Cricetulus griseus: one gene and its partners. The protein of the gene in region 2 binds, or shares a complex with, the protein of the main gene of each other region. Links are inferred from orthologs where the notes say so. Each region holds a gene or a part of one and is shown on either strand. Other genes may lie near its edges. The genes, in order: Ccnc, Med13 and Med16.

Region 1 (7,430 bases), on a different chromosome or scaffold from region 2:
CATCGAGCCATGAGCTAAGCCACATGGCAGGTTCCTGCAGTCTCTCACACAGGCTGCAGTACAGACAGGTGATGGGTATCAAGATTACAGACAAGCAACTCATATTCATCTAGAACTTTACTCACTGATGCCCATTTTAAATGTCTGGTTGTATTAAGGAAAGGAAAGATGTGGGCACTTATCTTTTGAGATTAAAAATACAGAGTTTACAATTCTATGCATTCCCTGTGGCTAAGCCCACTAATCAACAAAGACAAGGGAGTGTCCATTGTAAAAAATTGGGATTGTGCCCTGAGCAAATTGAGAACATGGGAAGAGGGGGGAGGAAGCTACGAGAGTGAGAAGGGAAGAAAAGGAAGGATGCAGAGGTCACAAGGAAGCAGAAATTTTGAGTCAGGTGTAGATTAGAAGAAAGGACATATGACAGGTAGGATTTTAGTTGGGGGTGGGGTGGTAGAGGAGGAAGGGAGGGAGAAGGGAACTGGGATCGTCATGTAATTCAATCTTGTTTGTAATTCAAATATATAAAAATAAATAAATAATTGGGATTGTAAAACAGAGGCTTCCTGAAAACAAACCGATAAACACAAACACACACACACACACACACACACACTCACACACACACTCACACACACACACACACACACACACACACACACACACACACACACACACGACGCCCCCCTCCAAGGAATGCACAATAGGAAAATGTAATCTAATGGCCATAAGATAAAGGTCTAAAGAATTCCTTAAATATTCCGGCTTTGGGAAATAGGGAGAACCTGATGACTCTATGCCACAGGAAAGGACTCTGGATATAGAATTACTATCCAGAAAAAAACTGCCCGCCCCCCAGGCTCCCAGAACTTTGGGTCTCAACAAAGATCTCCTTCGTGGGCTAAGGCTCCAACCACCTCTCCCCTTCAAAAGCATTTAACATACCTGGGCCAGAGTCCCACCTCTCAAGTTAATCCCAGTTAGAAACTGGCCAGGATTGCTGGTTATGCTTAGACCCCTGACCCCCATACTACATAGGGGTCGGAACTAACCAGACTGTCAATCCACTCAAGGAGGGGGAAGAGGAAGGAGAGAAATGATGTAATATAATTAAATTTCAATTAAAAATAAAATTTAAAGGTGTGTGTGTGTGTGTGTGTGTGTGTGTGTGTAGACATGCACAGTACATGCAGCTACCCATGGCGGCTAGAAATTGTTGATCCCCTGGGGCTGGCCATTGCAGCAGGTGGTTATAAGCCACCTGATGTGTGTGCTGGGAACTAACTCTAGTCTTCTGACAGAGCCACAAACACACTCAACTTCTGAGCCATCTGTCTAGCCTCTCCTAACATTTTTTATTGATACATATTTTGTTCTTCAACAGCCATTCCCAACTAACTGAATCCAAAAAGTGAACCCTGAAATTCCCCCCAAACTGTATGAACTAGTACTGTAAATCAACACAATCATCGGTCACTGCAGAGATAACTGTTTTATGTATCAGGAGCTAGTGGTCAGACAGAGAAGTTCTTTCTCATATCAAGACAGCACCGTGTTAACTAAAACCAAGTTCTTTTTCATCTGTACTGTAATTTAGGCTTTCTTATGTAATAGAAGCTAAGAGTAGGCCCCGGCATGGTGGCACACGCCTTTAATCCTGGCATTCTGGAGGCAGGAAACAAGGACTGACCTGAAATTCCTACTGTCCCTGCCTCAGCCACTGAAGTGAGGTACTGAGTGCATGTTACAATAATAGAAACTCGCTATTGCTCGTTCTGTAAAACTAAATTATTGCATTTCTGTAGTATTTCAATTTTGGGGCATGCATGTGCATCCGTGTGGCTAGATGTGTATTCATACGCCCATATGTTTTCAGGTGGACAAACGATGGCTCTGACATTAAAAGATTGCTGCTATTCTAAAATGTCCACACGAAAACCCATTAACTCGTTAGGCTCAGCTCCGGCAGAAGTCACTAAGAGCGCTTAAATCTATTTCTCCTTCCAATGCTAGGAAAACGAGCAATCACACATATGTTACGCTTTCTTACAATGCCACAGTACTATTCTAGGTGGGTTAGCAAGATGCCTAGACGGATCCAGAAGAAAAACTGCAAAGCAGCAGAAATCCAGAAGGTGCCTGCTCTAGGGCGGAGCTCTCGGGAGAGCGGCTCTCCACCGCGAGCTTCCGCCTCTGCTTGCTCTAGTTCCGGTCTCCGGCCTCCGGCCTCTCTCGTGTCTGTCTGCTCGCTTTCTCCGGCGCTAAGGCGGGCCGGAACTTTTGTCATCCGGAACCGGTGTACGCAATTCCGTGTTGCGGACCGGCGTCTAGGCGACGACGGCGCTGTTCTCTTCCTCCGGCGGCGGTCGCTGCGGAGCTCAGCCCAGCCAGCCTGGTTGAGGAGCGCGCCCGGCTGGACTGGGTCTATGGTGGCTCCGTGGGCCGCTCTGCTGGCTGGTGCTTTTGTATCAGGGCCCGCAGTATTCCATGGCAGGGAACTTCTGGCAGAGCTCCCACTAGTGAGTGAGCTTCCGTTTGCTCCCGCGGGACTGGTTCTGGGGCCCGGGGAGGACTGGGCCTGCGACTCCCTAGGGCCTGCGGATCTTGGAGTGTGGGCGAGCCCTCCCGGGGAAGCTAGGCGAGCTTGTTGGCGGGCCTCGGAGCCTCGGGGGCTGGGTGAGCCTGAAGGATGGGCGAGAGGACAGGTGTCCGACGGAAGACTGAGGCTGTTTCAGTTTGTATTTGGGGGTTAGCTGTGAGTGGGATGATGTGGGCACAGGCACGTTGTAGCCTGTTCGGACGGGTATGGGTTGCTTTTGCTAGGTCTTGTTGAGAGCAAAGACGTTACAATCTCTTGTCATTCGCCTTACTTGCAGATCTAATATTGCCTAGATTGTCGATCCGGTTTTTGGTTTGTTGGTTTGTTTGCCCCTGCCTCTTCCTCCTGAGTCGTGCGCCACCACTTCCCGGCTTCTCAGTAGACGTTTATGCCCCTAGAATATAGAGAGCGCAGTTGCTCTCAACATGTATGCATTTTCATTCATTAGCCAGTGTCTTCTGTTTTGCGTTAAAAGTGTGTATTTCTCAGGTTTTATCTATTCCTTGAACCATTTAAATGAGTGAATTCGGGTGCCTGCCTGTCAGTGGTCATGGAAGGGCTAAAGTAATATTTGAGACATTTCTCTCTAAATGCATTGGTTAAACGTGCAGCGAGGTTGTGTGATCTGGCTAAGCTTTGAGCAGGTTTTTCACTGAATACTTAAAAACTGAACGGGACTTAATACAAGACATCGTAGCTTAAGTAAATCTTAGGGTGAAGAAACTAACGAAATTTTAGTTCTGTGAATTGGATTGGCTCCTTTTCCTCTTTACCCCAAGAACGGGGAAGAAGGAAACAGTGAGTTTGTAAACCTGTTTCTGGAAAGCATGTTTTCTCTTGCTACAAAGTGATTTTAGGGAGATGAGCTGCTCGTGGAGCATCACTATGCGACATAGTATTTCTGGTTGTTTACAGTCACTGAGATGTTTTAGATGAAGTTGAAATACAGAAGGAGATGACTCAAAAAGGCGGAATTAAGTTGGAGCCTGTAATTCTGGCACTTGGACTGCCTTCATCGTCTGTCTCAGTGACGTAATACTGGAACAGACAGTAAGTCTTTGGGTATAGTAAGAATCTATCTTTGAGGAAGGGCCTTTGTATCAAGGGTTTCGAGAACCAGTGTGCTGGCTCTTTGTACAAATGACAGTATGAAAGAAGTCTGGAAAAAAGTAGAGAGCCTTTGAAAAACATCAAGAGACATATCCTCCCCCCCCCCCCCCCGCGCGCGCCCAAGTCCTGGAACTAGCTCTTGTAGACAAGACTTGTCTCTAACTCACAGAGATCCGCCTGCCTCTGTCTCCAGAGTGCTGGGATTAAAGCCAATTCTTTGCCCTCAAGTTCTCCTATTTTTTCCTGCTGAGACTGTAGGTGAGCTGCTGAAAAGCTAGAGAAATCATATGAGTGACTCCCCTGAGAGTTTAAAATGACATCCTTATTTAGTGACCAGACTGAATGAGAGTCAAACACAGCAAACTGACACAGAATTATTTGAAGATAGTCAGCAAAACAGTCAACAAGTAGTGTCAAGAACCAAAGGGATTAAATTGGTTTGTCGACAAGACTGTGAAACTTGAGGGATGATAGTGAAAATTCTGGTTGAAAAAAAAAATCTCATTAGAAAAATATTTATTTTCCTCTGAGGCAGAATCTGCTTAAAATGGGTGAACATGTGTTGAAGGACTCAAGATTTTCATTGTTTTATATAATTTACTCAATATTTTAGAGACCTATTTAGAAGAATTAATGCTAAGAGTGTGTGTGTGTGTGTGTGTGTGTGTGTGTGTGTGTGTGTGTGTGTGTGAGTGAGTGTGTGTGTGTGTGTGTGTGTGTGTGTGTGTGTGTGTGTGTGTATTTCAGAGATAGGCTAGTGCTTTGTCTACCTCTGATATATTTCTATCCAGACATTGTCTTTTACGGATGTACCTCCAAAGAAGAAGAAGCTGGGTATGTTACCACATGCCTTTAAACCTAGCAGTGATGGGGGTGAGGTGTTGTTGGCAGGTGGATCTCTGAATGTGAAGCCAGCCTGGTCTACAGAAGTGAGTTCCAGGACAGCCATGACTACAAGAGAAACCCTGTCTCAGAGGAGAAAAAAAGGAATGTACTTCTTAGAATAGATCAGCTTGTTAAATCTTAAAAAGTTTTAGGTGCTTTTGCTTGTTGGCGTTCTACACTGTGTTTTATTATCTTCTTTACTTTTTCCAGTTTGCAGTGGATTTTGGATAAACAAGATCTGTTGAAAGAGCGCCAGAAGGACTTAAAATTTCTCTCAGAAGAAGAGTATTGGAAGTTACAAATATTTTTTACAAATGGTACAATTTTAAGTTGGTTGAAGTAGTATAGTATAGCTGGTCACCTTTGAGACTTGTTTGTGGTAATTTTCAATGGATTATTGCAGTCTATAGTTAATGTTCTTATTTATACATTTATCGTTTTAGTGTGCTTGGTAACACTTTTTGCACTTTATGTGTTGGAAGCACAGTGTTAGCTAATGTCCTTGGGTATTTCTAGTGCGGCCTCTTTTAAGGTTGGTTAAGACAAAGTAAAAATAAGTAATTCTTTAAATTGGCATCCTGTAGTTGTCATTTTTACCTTATAATTTTACATTAGGAAGAAGGGGGTTTAAATCGGGGTGGTGGTGGTGAATGCCTTTAATCCCAGAACTTGGGAGGCAGAGGCAGGTGGATCTCTGTGAGTTCAAGACCAGTATGGTCTATAAGAGCTAGTTCCAGGACAGCCTCCAAAGCCATAAAGAAACCCTGTCTCTAAAAACAAAAAACAAAAAACAAAAAACAAAAAAAAAAGAAGGGGGTTTAGTCAGGAGACCTTTACTCTGCTGGGATAGCTTTGTTGCCTGGTATTTTTTAAAATAAATTTTATTTTTTTTTATGTATGGGTATTTTGCCTGCATGTGTATCTGTGCACTATATGTTATATAGTGACAAGGAGGCTTGGATCCCTAGGGACTGGAGTTACAAATGATTGTGAGCCACCATGTGGGTGCTGGGAATGGAACTTGGGTCTTCTGCAAGAGTTAGGACTTTTTATGAAAATAATCTGAAAAGTATTAAAAGGAATATTTGATAGTCAACTTCCTTATAGCAAGATAACTTGTAGGTGGTTTCTATTTCTTGGTTTTGCATGTTGCTATATTTGCAAGTCTTAGGCAGCTGTGGATCAGAGGGTGTCAGAGAGTGCCTAGCTATGAGTGGACATAATTCTAACATGTAGAAATTACTGTTAAAAGTTAATGTTATTAATGTTACTATAATGGTGCCAGGTGAAACATTAAAATTTTATTATTTCCCTTTTAGTCATCCAAGCATTAGGTGAACATCTTAAATTAAGACAACAGGTTATTGCTACTGCTACAGTCTATTTCAAGAGGTTCTATGCCAGGTATGGCTGTTTTATTTTTTTGTTAGCCTGTTTGAGGTTCTCTTCTGATTTCCATATGCCATATATAAGTAAGTCACTTGATTGCTATAGAATTATGATTGCCTGATTACCCAGTGTGTCTTCTAAATGGACATAATTTAACTCTTGTCTAATCATGTTTTAGGTATTCTCTGAAAAGTATAGATCCTGTATTAATGGCTCCTACATGTGTGTTTCTGGCATCCAAAGTAGAGGTATAAAACAATTTTTTGCTCTTCATCAACCTATAATATTATGTACAGTTAATCTTTTTTTATATTGCCTTTGTATGGATAATCTTAAGGGGTAATTTATACAAGATAATACATACATCTTGCAAGTAATTTTATATATTTAATAAATATGGCACTTACTATGTATCAGATGCTTTAATGAGACTATAAGTTTTTGTTTAATCCTATAACTGTAGAGTATATAGCAATAGGGTAAAAGGGCCTTGACCTTGACTTGATCTGAGACCAGAGCCAGGGAGAGAACACCTTGACTCTTAAATAACCTGAGACCAAGATTAAGAAAAAGAATCCACCAGTCCCTGAGCTTGCACAAAATCAGGCCACAAAAATCCCACCAATTCCATACTACCCTGGAATTCTCTGCTCACCAAGAAACCCTATATAAAGCCTGCCTTCTACTCAGTTCCCTACTGCTTCTCATCCAAGCAGAGGCAGCCACCCTCCTGGGTTTTCCTTCCCTCCCAATAAATCTCTTGTGTGAGGTTTGTTGTGCAGCGTGACTTTGTAGAATGCCTTGGCTCCTGATTGCCGGGATGCCTTTCCCTTTAGACATGCAGCACTTCTATGGGGGAAGCCTTTCCTCTCAGAGCTGTAGTACTTTCATTGAGGAAACCTTCCCCCTCAGCTGACAATGCCTGCATTAGGTAAGCCTTTCCCCTCAGCTGTGATACCACCATTGGGGGTACTTCTCTTCAGAACTGTCAACACTGTCATAAGGGAAGTCTTTCCCCTTAGAGTTGTAACATTTACATCCCATTTTATAAATGAGGAAACTAAGGCATAGACCAGGATGGCCTCAAACTCACAGAGATCCTCCTGTCTCTGTCTCCCTAGTGCTAGGATTAAAGGCATCACCACTGCCCCCCTTAGATTACAGATTTTTAATTAAAGGTATTTGAATAGTTTTATTAAATAAAGGACCATTCTTGTTTTTTTTTACATTCATATTAAGTGAATGGTTTAGGAATCTTAAGTGGTTTATCTGAAATTAAATGCGAGTATTAAGTACATTACATGATAAACTTTAGCTATTTTATGATGGTAGTATATCAGGTTGAAAAGAAAATAACTTACCTACAAAGCCTTATATTTCATTATAACTGTTTCATTCTTTCAGAACTGTTGGTGTTTGGTCTTCTGAGTAGTATCAGCATTTATTT
Region 2 (6,950 bases):
TTAAGAGGAGTTATTGATTATATAGGAAATTTTAATACCTTAAATAAAGGGACAGATACTTTGAGTCTCTTTTGCTAAACTGGAATTACAGTTTTAATTTAAAATCTCTTATCTTTTATTGGTTCATAAGTTACTGGTTATTTTTGCTTTTTTTATGTTTTCTTGAGTATACTTTTTTTCCTGTTAATTGAGAGACTTATCAAAAAAATCTTAAGTGATGGATCTATCTGTAAACTAGTATGTTATTTGGCTCTGGTCATAAAATTCAGAAGACCACTTTTTATGATCACTATTTATCTTTTCAGTTACATATGAATGATTAGTACTGTGGGATCACATTGGCTTTTTTTTTTTTTTTTTTTTCCTTCCTGATAGCCTGGATCTAAAAAATCAGCATCTGGATCAGATGATAAAGCCAGCTCCAAAGAATCCAAGACAGGAAGTCTGGATCCATTATCTTGCATAAGTAAGCTTTACAGATCTGTGCTTTAGCTCAATTTGAAAACTCACTCCCCCAGAAAATTCCCTTTGGTTTAAACACAGATTCACTTCTTTTTAGTCTATGTTAAAATGTGTGTTTCATTAAATATAGGCACTGCAGATCTTCACAAGATGTATCCTACACCACCATCATTGGAACAACACATTATGGGATTTTCTCCAATGAATATGAATAATAAAGAATATGGTAGTATGGATACAGCACCTGGAGGAACTGTCCTAGAAGGAAATAGTTCTAGTATAGGAGCACAGTTCAGAATTGAGGTTGAGGAGGGATTCTGTAGCCCCAAACCTTCTGAAATTAAAGTAAGTATTTTTCCAAACAATTAATTCCCTTCCTGTGTTTTCTTATAGGATTAATTGCTGTATTCAAGAGATTTTTTTTCACATTTGATTTTAGCTTTGTGGCTAATATGAGAACTAAATTGTGGGAATACTATGTAAAATGCAGTAAAAACAGAACAGAAAATATTTATACTTTGGTATGTTTAAAGAATAGGGTAAAGAAGACAGTCACTTTGAACATAAGGCACTGAAAGTCTACATTCTTTATATTGTAGGATTTTTCTTATGTCTATAAACCTGAAAATTGTCAAGTTCTAGTAGGATGTTCCATGTTTGCACCTTTAAAAACTCTACCAAGCCATTGTCTGCCTCCTATCAAATTGCCAGAAGAGTGTATTTACCGGCAGAGCTGGACTGTTGGAAAATTGGACTTGCTTCCTTCAGGCCCTTCAATGCCATTCATCAAAGAGGGGTATGGTTGATGTTGTTTTTATAATACTGAATGCTTGTAAAAGTTGTTTTTGTGTATCTGTTAGAGGGATAGCATTGTAGGGTGTGCATGCCTATGAGCCACATGTGAAGGCCAAAGGGAAGTAAACATTGGGTTTCTTCATCTATTGCCCCTTTACTCATTTGAGGCATGGTTTCTCATTGAACCTGAAACTTGCTGTTCTGTCTGGGCTGACAGGCCAGCAATCTTCTGGAATCTGCCTATCTTTGTCTCCCAAATGCTGGGATTACAGCTTGCTCAGCCATACCCAAGGTCTATCCATTTTTTTTGTTGAAGTACCAGGTATGCTGGAAAAAGATGTGTTTTTATGTATAAATAAAAAATAAAATAATAATTCTTGTTTATTATAATGATAATAATAGACATGGATAAACTATTTGAAACCATAGACCTTTTTTTGACTTTAAAAGTACTTTTTCTTTTTGTTTGCAATACTGAGTTGTTCCCATTTTTTGTATCTGTCATTTTACATTTACTTCACATTGTAACAGATAAAATTTAGCATTTTGTTACCAGTTGCGTATTAAAATTACTATCGCCACTTTGTACACATAAACAACTCAAAAGACAGAATTGTTGCTGGCAGTTTTCTTTGTCCCGCCTCTTCAGCCCCAAATAAGCACACACAGACTTATATTAATTATTAAACTGTTGGCTGATTGTTTGGGCTTCTTATTGGCTATCTCTCTCTTAATTGTTAACCCATTTCTATTAATCTATGTATTTCTCCATGGCCTTATCTTACCAGAGAATGGTCAGACCTGTTACTACTTTTGGCGTCTACATAGTGTCTGTTTCTGGCAGGCTCCCTCTGCCTACCTTTCCCAGAATTCTCCTCATCTGATAGTCCCGCCTATCTTCCTGTCTCATTGGCTGAACAGTGTTTTATTCATCAACCAATAAGAGAAACATATATACTGAAGGGCGTCCCCCATCACAGAATTTTTTTTCAATTGTACATGCTTTATCTGCATGTACAACTTGATATCAGAAGAGGACATCAATCTCAACTGTACATGGTTGTGAGCTATGTGGTTGCTGGGAATTGAACTTGGGACCTCTGGAAGATCAACCAGTGCTCTTTAACCGCTGAGCCATCGAACCTAAGAATTTTTTTTTTTTTCTTGTCAATCAGCAGCAACAAGAGTCAATGAGATACAAGTATTTGTAGCATTAGAAATTTATAGAGTAAATATGGTTGTTTAGATGTGGATAACTTTATACAAACTTCATTTGTAATTTTTTGAGACTTTTAAAATTTTATATGTGTGTCCCAACATGACTTCATGTACACATGTGTGCAGGTGCCATGGAGGCCAGAGGACATCAGATCCCTTAGCATTGGAGTTACAGTCGCTTAGTTGTGGGCTGCCTGATGTGGGTGCTGGGAACTGAACTTCTGAACTTGGGTACCCTGTAAATCTAGTTAGCTTACAAGAATCTCCATAGTGAACATGATAAACCTGAAATAAGTCTTAGTTGTACATGTAATCTTCTAGTGATTGCCATATGGAAATTTTCAGTGTTTGCTGAAGAGCATTTGGAGAACTTTTAGTTGTATTTCACATTACTAATGTGTTCCTTTACGCACGTGTTTCTCTTTTTACCTTGGTGACAACAGTGATGGAAGCAATATGGATCAAGATTATGGCCCTGCCTACACACCTCAAACCCATACTTCTTTTGGGATGCCTCCGAGCAGTGCACCCCCTAGTAATGGTGGTGCGGGAATTCTCCCTTCTCCATCCACCCCTAGATTTCCAACTCCAAGGACTCCAAGGACTCCAAGGACTCCTCGTGGAGCTGGTGGACCTGCTAGTGCTCAAGGTTCAGTCAAGTATGAAAATTCAGACTTGTATTCACCAGCTTCCACCCCATCTACATGCAGACCCCTCAATTCTGTTGAACCTGCCACTGTCCCTTCCATCCCCGAAGCACACAGTCTTTATGTAAACCTCATCCTTTCAGAATCAGTTATGAATTTGTTTAAAGACTGTAATTTTGACAGTTGCTGTATTTGTGTTTGCAACATGAATATCAAGGGTGCCGATGTTGGAGTTTACATTCCAGATCCAACGCAGGAAGCACAGTATCGGTGTACCTGTGGCTTCAGTGCTGTCATGAACCGAAAATTTGGAAATAATTCAGGATTATTTCTTGAAGATGAACTTGATATCATAGGACGTAACACAGACTGTGGCAAAGAAGCAGAAAAACGTTTTGAGGCTCTCAGGGCTACCTCTGCAGAAAATGTTAATGGAGGCATAAAGGAATCTGAAAAGGTGCCTGATGAGTTGATATTACTGCTGCAAGATCAATGCACTAATTTATTTTCACCCTTTGGAGCAGCAGACCAAGATCCTTTTCCCAAAATGGGTATAATTAGCAACTGGGTACGTGTTGAAGAGCGGGACTGTTGCAATGACTGCTATCTTGCATTAGAACATGGACGTCAGTTCATGGATAATATGTCGGGAGGAAAGGTTGACGAAGCACTTGTCAAAAGCTCATGCTTGCATCCGTGGGCCAAACAAAATGGTAAGTTTGTGAATGAAGTCAGGTTTTTGTTTCGTTTTTTAGGTATTTGACTTTGACTTTTTTTTTCTGGGGGGTAAAAATATCAAAAGCAATTAGACCTAATAGGTGTGCCGAAATTTGGATTTAACCGTCATGTGAAGACAGTAACGTGCTGGGTGTGATGATGCATGAGTTTAATCCCACCAGAAGCAGGTGGATCTCTTGTTGGAGGCTAAGACTACATAAGGGACTCTGTGTCAGAGAAACAAACAGAAAACCCCAAAAAGACAGTAACATAGAGATTTCTTAGCTGTTTAGTTAAGTTTCAGCAATAAAAATAGGTTATTGTGCATCTGTAATTGTTTAGCCACATAAAAATTTAAAAGGCATGCTGCTTATTTGTTAGCAGAAAATTATTGTTTCCTTCAGCCATGTAATTTTGTCTTTTCAGGTGTCATATACTTTGCTATTTAGCTATGACTTGATTATATTATTAAATATTTACCAAGCACCTTGTTGTTCAACAGTGACCACTATTTTATGGTCACTGTTGAACAGACACACCATTCTCTGGCTTTTATTTTATTTTTTCTTTTTGGTTTGGTTTTTGCTTGTGTGTATGTGGGTGCATAATTACATGTGTTTGGGTTTACGTACATATATGTAGGCCAGATGATAGCCTTTGGTGTCAGGCCTCAGAAACCATCAGTCAGCCTTTTGGGCCCCACCACTGTTTGTTTGGATCAGGCTTCTCATTTCCAAGGCACTGATTGATTATGTCAGAATCTCCTTTCTTTTTGAGCCTATGGTTTAGTGGAGGAGATAGATAGTAAACAACAACAATACATGCTTGCATTATGTACTGGTTATAAGTGCATTAAAGAGAAATCAGTGCAAAACATGTTTGCATGGGAGAAACCTTATGTGCTGTTTAAGAAACATGGTCAGAGATGATAGCGAAGGTTAAGGAACATTTATGGAAAGTCCTGTTTGGAGTGGGAAAAGTGTGAACAATATAGTTAACTGGGGAAACAGTGCTAGTAGACAATGCAGTTCAAAGTCCTTGAGGACATAGTTTTCAGGATAAGTTTGAGAAACATAGGCAGTATTAATGTTGAGTGATGGTCAGACTGATTAGATGATGAAGCCTAAGAGTGTCTGAAACACCAAAATTATTTAATTTGTGTGTGAGCGTGTATGTGTTTGGGTATGTGTGCCATGGCATACATTTGGATGTCAGAGGACGACAGTTTGAGGGTGTTGGTTCTCTCCTTGTACCAACTCAACCCAGGGTTTGAACTCGGGTAGTTAAGCTTGGAAGTGGGCACTTTTTGAACCATGCTGTTAGAATTTATTGTAAATGCTGTAGCAACTATTTTTAATAGAAAAGTAGTCCCACACTGTCTTTTTTGCTTAAGAAAAAAAAATCACTGGCTATTGCATAAAAAATATCCTGGGACGGCAGGTGAAAGTACAAGAAGAAAAATTAGGGAGAAGCCAGTTACAGTAGTCAGTGAGGATGACAGCTTGGAAAAGACTGAAAACAATAGAAGTTGTGGTAGTAGATTCCAGTTTAGATGGAAATATAGACCTACAGAATTGTGCTGATTCGTGTAAGAGAAGATGAAGCATTAACCATGGTTTGTATGAATGTTGGTGCTAACTACAGAGGAGGAAAATAGGAGGAGGTCAAGTACATATTTGGAGATAATAGTTTTAAATTCAGAAGACTGATGAATCTGGAAATGTCTTTTTTTTTTTTAATGTGGGTTATCAGTATTAAATACTATGGTATGTCATTTGTGGTGCACGTGTAATACCAGCACTGGGAAAGTGAAGGAAAGAATCAGAAATTCAAGGTCATATCTGGCTACATGGTAAGTTCAAGGCCACCCTGGGATATATGGGGCCCTTTTCTTTTAAAAGCCTGGAGCTGGATAAGAAATTTTAGGGGAGAGAGGGTCAGGAAGGAATCTGAGAAGAAGCCAGGAAGTAGGGTACTCATGTGTGAGAATATAGAATGAGAGTGAATATATGTATAATGTCTTTGTAAGGGAACAGGAACAGTGTGACAAGACCACTGAATGTGGCACCGTGGAGGTAGTTAAAGAACTTGATAATCATCTCTGTCAGCCTGATTAGCGTGGGTATGAGATTGAGAAACTAATTTAAAATTTGGGGAGACATTTGGTTTAAAATAGAAATTTTATGTTATGGTTAACATTATTATTAATATATACACATGTGTACATGCAGAATAATTCTATCTAGATGAAAAATTTAAATAGACAGTTTCATATATTTTTACCATGTATTCAGATATATTTCACATGAGTACAGTGTGGTACTTTGCTATATGGATACATTATAGAAATAATAAACCAAGCTGATTATCTTATTTAAAATCTTTTATCAGTTATAAAGTACAGAATACAATATTAGTAACTGTGCTCATCATGTTTCTAAATGGACCTCTAAAACTTACTCTTCCTACCTAACTGGAACCTCACTCCGTCTCTCTAGTCCAACCTTCCTCCATAGGAAGAATTATCACAGAACAAAAGGTACCCTTGTAGGAGCAAAGTCATTGAATAAGTGAGGAGTAATAGAGTCAATTCATTTCAGTTAGGTTATAGGAACATGTCTATCACAACAAGAAGAAATGTTATTTATTTGGACAAGAAGAGGGAACATGAACATTTGTAGTGATTGCTTTTGTAGTTATGGATGAAAGCAACTGGAGTTAGTGACAGCGTCATTTGATACTCCTGTCTAATTTCCCATACCAGCAGCTTCAGACATTACCACATATTTAGAAATGTACATTTTCACACTCTGTCCATGATCTTCTAAACCAAAGTCTGGAGATAGGAGTTAGTTCAACCACTTATTACTAATGATGTCTTTGAAAAAGTAATTTTTTATCCTTATTACCTTACCTATTCTTTTTTTTTTTTTTTTTTTGTGTGTGTGTGTGTGTGTGTGTGTGTGTGTGTGTGTGTGTGTATGGTTTGAACCTAGGAACTTGAGTATGCTAGGCAGGTGCTTTAAAACTGAACTATATCTTCAAGTCACTTCATTTGTACTAATGAAATAAAATTAGTATTTGATTGATTAGCATTGTAAAGATTTATTG
Region 3 (6,950 bases), on a different chromosome or scaffold from region 2:
TTCTACCCACAATGCCACAGAGGGGAGGGGCAGATCACTCTCCTTGGCAGTAAGAGGGACATTTTCTTTTGTGTGGGAGCCCTGTTCATCCACATATGACCCCCCACCCCCCGCACTAAGTTTGAGCCCTACCTGCTGCAGGGCGGGCTTCTGGCGAGTGTATTCCTCATGCAGCCGCTCCACCAGGCTCTGCACCATGCCGGGCTGCACATGCAACAGGATGTCCCACCAGTCATAGCCGGTCACCATGCAGTACTCCAGCAGGAACAGCAGGTGCTGTAGAGCCAGCTTGGGCTCCAGTGGGTGGCCCAGGGATGGAGAGATTCGCAGCATGCTGAGCTGGGGGGAGGCTGTGCTGAGGGACTGCTGCTCACCAAAACCTCTCCCCAACCGCTCCTCTGCCCTCCTGGTCGGTCTGGGCACTCACCTTCCCATGGTTGTCAATGCCCACCAGGGCCAGTGATGTCCAGGACAGCTGCATAGCTTTGAAGTGTACAGCTGGGCCTGTGGTGCGTGGACGCTTCAGGGTGGGCTCATCCAGTGAGCGTGGGGTTGAACTGTAGAAAGCCGCCATAGTCTGCAGTGACAGTCGATGTACCATTTGCACGCTGCCATCCTGGAAGGCCAGCACCAAGCCTGGGAGGAGGGGAGTGCAGTCAGGGCAGGCTGAGCAGTGCTGCTCTCTCTGTCTCCCTTAGTGACCTCAAGATCCAGAGAGCCCCAAGCTCTGTCCCAGGGTCCTCCTCAGGCTCAGCCACTGCCCCCACCTTTAATGCATTCTCCCCATCATATAGGAGTGAGCCAGGAAAATAAAGACCTAGAAACCTAGAGGCAATCCCACCTCACAGCTGAGCAGCTGAGAAGGCACCTGACTGACTTACAGGCAGGGACTTAAGGGAGTCGAACCCTGGATGATACATATATACTTTTGTGATTATGTGTCTGCTCTGCAAAAGGGTTTCTTCACCCCATCGTCCCAACTCTCTGTCCGTTAGCCACAGCTCTTTACATATTGAGCACAGCTTTCTACTAACTGGTTACAGCTGCACACATCTTAAGGACTGTAACATTTTGTTAATCAGCTACAACTCTACATATTAAGGAATGCAGCTTTGTGTTAACTAGCCACAGGTCTTTACATATTTAGGAGCACAGCTATTTGGCAACTTTCAGGACCCTTGGTTCTGGGGGACAGTCCACATTCATCACATGAGACTGGGAACCCACAGCACTCACAGTCCACTTCCCACCCCACACATCCAGGTGCTGTGCTGGTTGCTCCTGGGTGCAACATACCGAGGCCAGGATAGAACTGGGTTTCACTGGCCACCTTGAGGTCTGTGTTGGTGAGTGAGATGGGAAGTTTGGGCAGTGCCACAGCTGATACACGGTCCAGGTCATTGGTGGCTGACAGGATCCGCCACTTGAGGATCATGGGCTGTTTGTCGCCAACTGGTCAATTGGGTCAGGAAAAGAAAGGGGTGTGGGAGGGGTACAGAGAGAAGTCCACCTCAGGGTAGCAGGGCCACTCCTGTCCCGATTTGGGAAGAGGACTAGGCATAGTCAATCAGAGCACTTCTCCTCCTCCAGCCAGTTGGCCTGAGGGTGTTACCTGACCTGAGGACCAGTAGGATCCAGTCCAAGGATTTTTCTTGTCTGTTTTGAAACAGGGTCTCATGTACCCCACACTGGCTTGAAACCTCTATGAAGCCCAGGCTAGACTTGAACTCTTACCCTCCTGGCTCCACCTCTTTGGTGCTGGTATTCCCCACTATGCCCAGTTCATTACCTGCTGGGGATGGAGCCCAGCCCCTCTAAGACCAGTTATTTGTGTTTTTGTTTTGTTTTTCAAGACAGGGTTTCTCTATAGCTTTTGGAGCCTGTCCTGGAACTCACTCTGTAGATCAGGCTGACCTTGAACTTACAAAGACCCACAGCCTCTGCCTCTGCTGGGATTAAAGGCATGCACTGCCGCCACCGCCACACCCCCCCTCCAGTCTGAGACTGGTTATCTGTATGTCAGTCCCCATCTTTGAAACCAGTCCTGACCCCACAGGGAGCACCAGCAAGTGTCACTCCCAAGGGGAAACTGAGGCCAGAATGGCTACAGCCAACTGTTTGGAGCAGTCAGGACTCCTTGTGGTGAAGGGTGTTCTCTCACAAGGGGCATAAGAAGCAGAGGTGGAGACAGATGAGTGGTGCATGCCAGTCTTACCAGCTCTGGAGAGGCAGGGGTAGGAGGACCACTGAGAGTCTGACGCTAGATAGGGTTGGGGCTATAGGGTACAGGACTTTTAAAATTCAAACAAATGCCGGGTGGTGGTGGCGCACGCCTTTAGTCCCAGCACTAGGGAGGCAGAGGCAGGCGGATTTCTGTGAGTTCAAGACCAGCCTGGTCTACAAGAGCTAGTTCTAGGACAGCCTTCAAAGCCACAGGGAAATCCTGTCTCGAAAAAAAAAAAAAAAAAAAAAAAAATCAAACAAAAAAGATCCACAAGTCAGTGGGCAATGGAACCTAGCGGCTGGTATCCAGGGCCTCTTGGTCACATCCCTGCCTTGACCACAGCCAGCTCCTGTCACCATGGTCACCATGCCTTGGCTTCCCTACCAGGCACCACCCACTGGGCTGGAGAACTGGGCCCTGGCTGGTGTGTTCACCCCGGACCAGGCACACAGCAGGCAGCATGTGCACAGAAGGGCCAGTGGGCATGTGTGGCAGGTGCTGCCAGCCAGCCAGGCCAGCCTTCGAGCCCAGACATCTGCAGGAAGCACAGTGGGGATGCTATTCACATTTAATTACTCGATGGCCACAACAGGCAGTTTATGTAACTGCAGTGAGTTGAGTGGCCTCTTGACACAACTTCATTAGGGCCGCCAATTAAGTCCTCTAAGCCACCTTTTAAGCCACCGGGGTCCATTAACTCTCCCACCTCCCATCACACTTTCCTTTCTGAGCCAGGCTGTTGCAGGGCAGGCTCAGGGAAGGAAGGTGGGGGTCTAGGAGAGCAAGAGGGTTACAGGAGGTGCTCTCCAGAGATGGGCTGGTAAAGCCAGCAGACTGCACTCTGCACTGGGATTTCTAGAAGACTCTGTGGCTTTTAAAGTAGATTTAAAAGTAGATGTGGCTGTGCATGCCCTCTTGACAGCTCAGCCCTTTTTCTCTGCTCCAGCTGCAGGACCTTTGTACAGGGCATTTCCTCAATCCCGGGGTTTCCAGGCTGTCCTGCCTAGGGAACCTTAGTATCCCACTCTAGCCAGGAAGCCAACAGCCTCCTGGGACTTTGGAAATTAATCTGAGAAGAGCCTGGGGCTCAGTAGGCAGAGGCAGGTGTGGTACTGAACATTACAGGCCAGCCAGGGACACACAGAGAGAGACCCTGTCCCATATAAACCTCAAATCCCATGAGCTAATGGACCCTGGTGGCTCACGAACCCTGGCTGACTCACCCACAGGAGAGATCTGCTGGAAGATGTTGTTCACAGGCAGGCCCTCCTTCCGCAGGGACCAGCACTCCACCAGGCTGCTGGTCTGGCTGGAGGCACATAGGAGCACCTGGGGGTGGGGTTCAGTGAGGAGTGGGGGCTGACCCCAGGGCCCCTACCACGGGTGCCTCATTTGCATCCTCCAGGGATGGGTCTACAAGATATGCCAGGAGGCACAGGGCCTCATGAATTCACACAGTGAGAACCCAGGTGACCCGTAACCAGTGGGATGACAGCCCCAAAGACAGGTCAGGGGACTCAGGAGAGGGACTCAAGCTGAGGATTTGCCTGGACCATCCAGAGCCTGGTTTCACTGTGGGGTTGTGAGGTAGGATGGTGAGAGGCAGGGAGAATGGGAGACACCATGTCAGCTTTGAAGGTGGATGAAGGAGCCACAAGCCAAGGGGTGCAGGGCCTCTGAATGCTGGCATGGCTGGGCCACCAGGAAGGACCTTTCCTGCCCGACCAGGTCCCTGTCAGATTCTGATCTCAGGACAAGTCATGGCCAGCTGGGCTGGGGATGAAGCTATGCTTACCTGCTCAGACATGTCTCGGGCCAGGAACTTGAGGTGTGTGATGGCGGGGAACCTGTCCTTTCGGTTGGGGTCGGTGGTGCACCGCATGAACAAGGAGGGCAGGATCTCAGTATCTATTCGGCACTTCTCGCTCACCACACTCACGCACACCTTGTAGAATTTCACGGGTGACGCGCTGCTACCGTCTGCAGCAGCCACCACAATGTTCCCACCGCCTGTGAAGGCGATATCAGCAAGTGCCACTCGGCCTCGAAGCCGGCACAGGCTCTCAGTGGATGTCAGCACTTGCCCGCTCGGCTTCAGCAGGGACACAGTCACTAGGCCACTAACTGTCACCGCAATCCAGCCCTCCATGGGCTTGCCACCAAACAGCGTGAGTGAAGGAGAGAATTTCACACGGGAGAACTTCTCCCCAAAGCTGGAAGCACCCGACTGCAGGAAAGGGAAACAGAAGGAAGGGTTTGCTCAGCTCCTTGGGGTCCACCTTCTATGGCCCCACAAGCACCGAGCAACAATTCGGCAAGAGCACTGCATGAAGGAGGCCTCTCTAGCGCACAGTAATGCACAAGCCGTGTACTTCTCAGGGGGTTAAACTTGGTTCTTCACTTTCTGTTGTAACCTCTCTGAGTTTGAGGCCAGCCTGGTCTACAGAGTGATTTCCAGAACAGCCAGGGCTACAATGAGGAAGCCTGTCTCAAAAAACTGGAAAGTGTTTGAGTGGTTTCTCTGGAGGTATATATGTGCATCTCATGGGTGAGAAGTCTGTGGAGGTCAGAAGAAGGGGTTGGATCCCTTGAAGCTGGAGTTACACGTGGTTGTGAGCCAGCATATGAATGCTGGGATGTAACCCAGGTCCTCTGCAGAGGGCAGAGGCAGCCGGTGCTCTAACCACTGAGCAACCTCTCCAGGCCCTACATTAAATTTGGGAGGCAAAGTGTCACTGTTTAGTCCTGGTTAGACAGGGACTGGCTATGTAGACCAGGCTGACCTTAAGCTCAGAGCTATTTGCCTCCTCAGTGCCGGGATTGGTAAATGCCACCAGGTCCGGCCTTTTTTTTTTAACTATATAAAAATGTGTTACATTTGTTTATGCTGCATTTGTTTAACTATGTGAAGATGTGTTACATTTGTTTTGCATTGCCTGCCTAAGGCTGCTGATTTGTCGGAATAAGAAGCTGAAATAGTCAATTGCTAGACAGTAGAGGGCTAGGTGGGGCTGGTGGGCAGAGACAATAAGGAGGAAAAGGAAGAACAAGAGAGAACTCGGGAGAAAAGGAAGGAGACGATAAGCCGGGCTTTGGTGGCGCACACCTTTAATCCCGGCACTCAGGAGGCAGAGGCAGGTGGATCTCTGTGAGTTCGAGGCCAGAATGGTCTACAGAGCGAGTGCCAGGATAGGCTCCAAAGCTGCACAGAGAAACCCTGTCTCGAAAAACCAATAAATAAATAAATGAGAGAGAGAGAGAGAGAGAGAGAGAGAGAGAGAGAAAGAGAGAGAGAGAGAGAGAAAGATGCCTGGGGTTGGCCAGCCAGACACAGGAGAAGCAAGAAAAGTAGGACATACAGAATGAAAGAAATGTAAAAAGCCCTGAGGCAAAACACAGATGAAGAGAAACAGGTTAAAATAAGTTATAAGAGCTAGTGGGAGGGCTGGAGAGATGGCTCAGAGGTTAAGAGCACCAACTACTCTTCCAGAGGTCCTGAGTTCAATTCCCAGCAACCACATGGTGGCTCACAACCATCCCTTATGAGATCTGGTGCCCTCTTCCGGTGTGCAGATATACATGAAAGCAGAATGTTGTATGCATAATAAATAAATAAAAATCTTAAAAAAAAAAAAAAAGCTAGTGGGAGCCAGATGGTGGTGGTGGTGTGGTGCAGAGGCAGGCAGATCTCTGTGAGTTGGAGACCAGCCTGGTCTACAGAGCGAGTTCCAGGATAGGCTCCAAAGCCACAGAGAAACCCTGTCCAGAAAACAAACAAACAAAAAAAGCTAGTGGGACAAGCCTAAGCTAAGGCAGAGCATTCATAACTAATTGGTCTCCATGTCATGATGTGGGAGCTGGTGAGTGGCCACATGTAGGCGTGGTCTCAGCAGGTGTGTGGAAGCTGCTGGTCCCCAAGGACCTGGCCATGCCCCCTTCCTCAAAGGCATCTACCTCCGAGGAAACAGACATCTCAGATGTCTGTTGGTGCTCACTCCTCACTGGTTGAACTCCAGAATACACATGGATAGGGGAATTGTGGTCGTCATTAAATCACAGTAGAGTGGGGTCTGAAGACCACATAGCAGTCATCTGTAAAACAGGACACCATTGGATGCAGCTGCCTGTGGAACAGGGTCACTCTATAGGGACCATCATCCCATCACTGAAAGGGGAGGCTCAGGGGGACAATAGCTGTAGTTAAGCATGTTCTTGGGGACAGGAGCTCACGGATGGCAGTTACTGACAGGTATCCCACGCAAACAGGCCTGGCACATGACAGAGAATTCTGGCAGCGGCAAGGGAGAGACAGGTTGGTCACTCACAACTCCGCCACACGTAAGTCCCCTCACCTTCTCCACGTGCAGGGCCAGTTTCACGCCGTTGTGCAGCCAGGACAGCGCCACGATGGAGTCCCCCTCCACCTGGCTTCCCACTGAGCTCTCCCAGCTGTTGGCCAAGTGGTCAGCCATGCTCCAACATTTGATATGCCCGTCAGCATCGGCTGACAGGAGCCGTGAGCCTGTGGTGACAGAGTGCCATCAGGAACCCTCCTGAGGGGCAGGTTGACTGCCACCCCCTGCCCCCACACTCTGGACTCCCAGTGACTCTGGATTTAGGACTGAGAACTGAAGAAGGCAGCCCATGCTGCTCAGGGCTCTGGAATGAGAGTGAACTTCGTGGCATCACCTGACTGGTCCCATTCCAGGCAGGTGATGGCCTCGCT

The links.
Region 1: the proteins of Med13 (region 2) and Ccnc are in contact, whole or in part, in a cryo-EM structure (PDB 8TQC), measured with the Homo sapiens proteins. The link is inferred for Cricetulus griseus from reciprocal best matches to the Homo sapiens genes MED13 and CCNC. Residues at the interface, in NP_005112.2 of Homo sapiens: Tyr1342, Ser1630, His1631, Val1732, Lys1733, Thr1734, Thr1736, Phe1738, Gly1739, Pro1740, Gly1741, Ala1743, Arg1897, Met1898, Ile1901, Asp1905; in NP_005181.2 of Homo sapiens: Gln7, Gln13, Trp14, Leu16, Gln19, Lys23, Gln26, Lys27, Arg75, Tyr76, Glu144, Leu145, Asp147, Cys148, Ser221.
Region 3: Med13 (region 2) and Med16 share a complex: the UniProt entries of both Homo sapiens proteins name them as parts of the mediator complex. The link is inferred for Cricetulus griseus from reciprocal best matches to the Homo sapiens genes MED13 and MED16.

Annotation. Positions count from the first base shown.
Region 1 is NC_048595.1:119,718,934-119,726,363, reverse strand, and holds the start of Ccnc (cyclin-C), read left to right. Parts: upstream 1-2,321; 5' UTR 2,322-2,487; coding exon 2,488-2,519; intron 2,520-3,514; exon of another isoform or gene 3,515-3,649; intron 3,650-4,804; coding exon 4,805-4,911; intron 4,912-5,913; coding exon 5,914-5,998; intron 5,999-6,161; coding exon 6,162-6,231; intron 6,232-7,430. UniProt on the Homo sapiens protein: Component of the Mediator complex, a coactivator involved in regulated gene transcription of nearly all RNA polymerase II-dependent genes.
Region 2 is NC_048600.1:99,545,183-99,552,132, reverse strand, and holds part of Med13 (mediator of RNA polymerase II transcription subunit 13), read left to right. Parts: intron 1-375; coding exon 376-466; intron 467-592; coding exon 593-807; intron 808-1,061; coding exon 1,062-1,258; intron 1,259-2,918; coding exon 2,919-3,835; intron 3,836-6,950. UniProt on the Homo sapiens protein: Component of the Mediator complex, a coactivator involved in the regulated transcription of nearly all RNA polymerase II-dependent genes.
Region 3 is NC_048598.1:100,699,163-100,706,112, forward strand, and holds part of Med16 (mediator of RNA polymerase II transcription subunit 16), read right to left. Parts: coding exon 6,914-6,950; intron 6,747-6,913; coding exon 6,577-6,746; intron 4,452-6,576; coding exon 4,020-4,451; intron 3,554-4,019; coding exon 3,448-3,553; intron 1,453-3,447; coding exon 1,297-1,452; intron 637-1,296; coding exon 428-636; intron 340-427; coding exon 133-339; intron 1-132. UniProt on the Homo sapiens protein: Component of the Mediator complex, a coactivator involved in the regulated transcription of nearly all RNA polymerase II-dependent genes.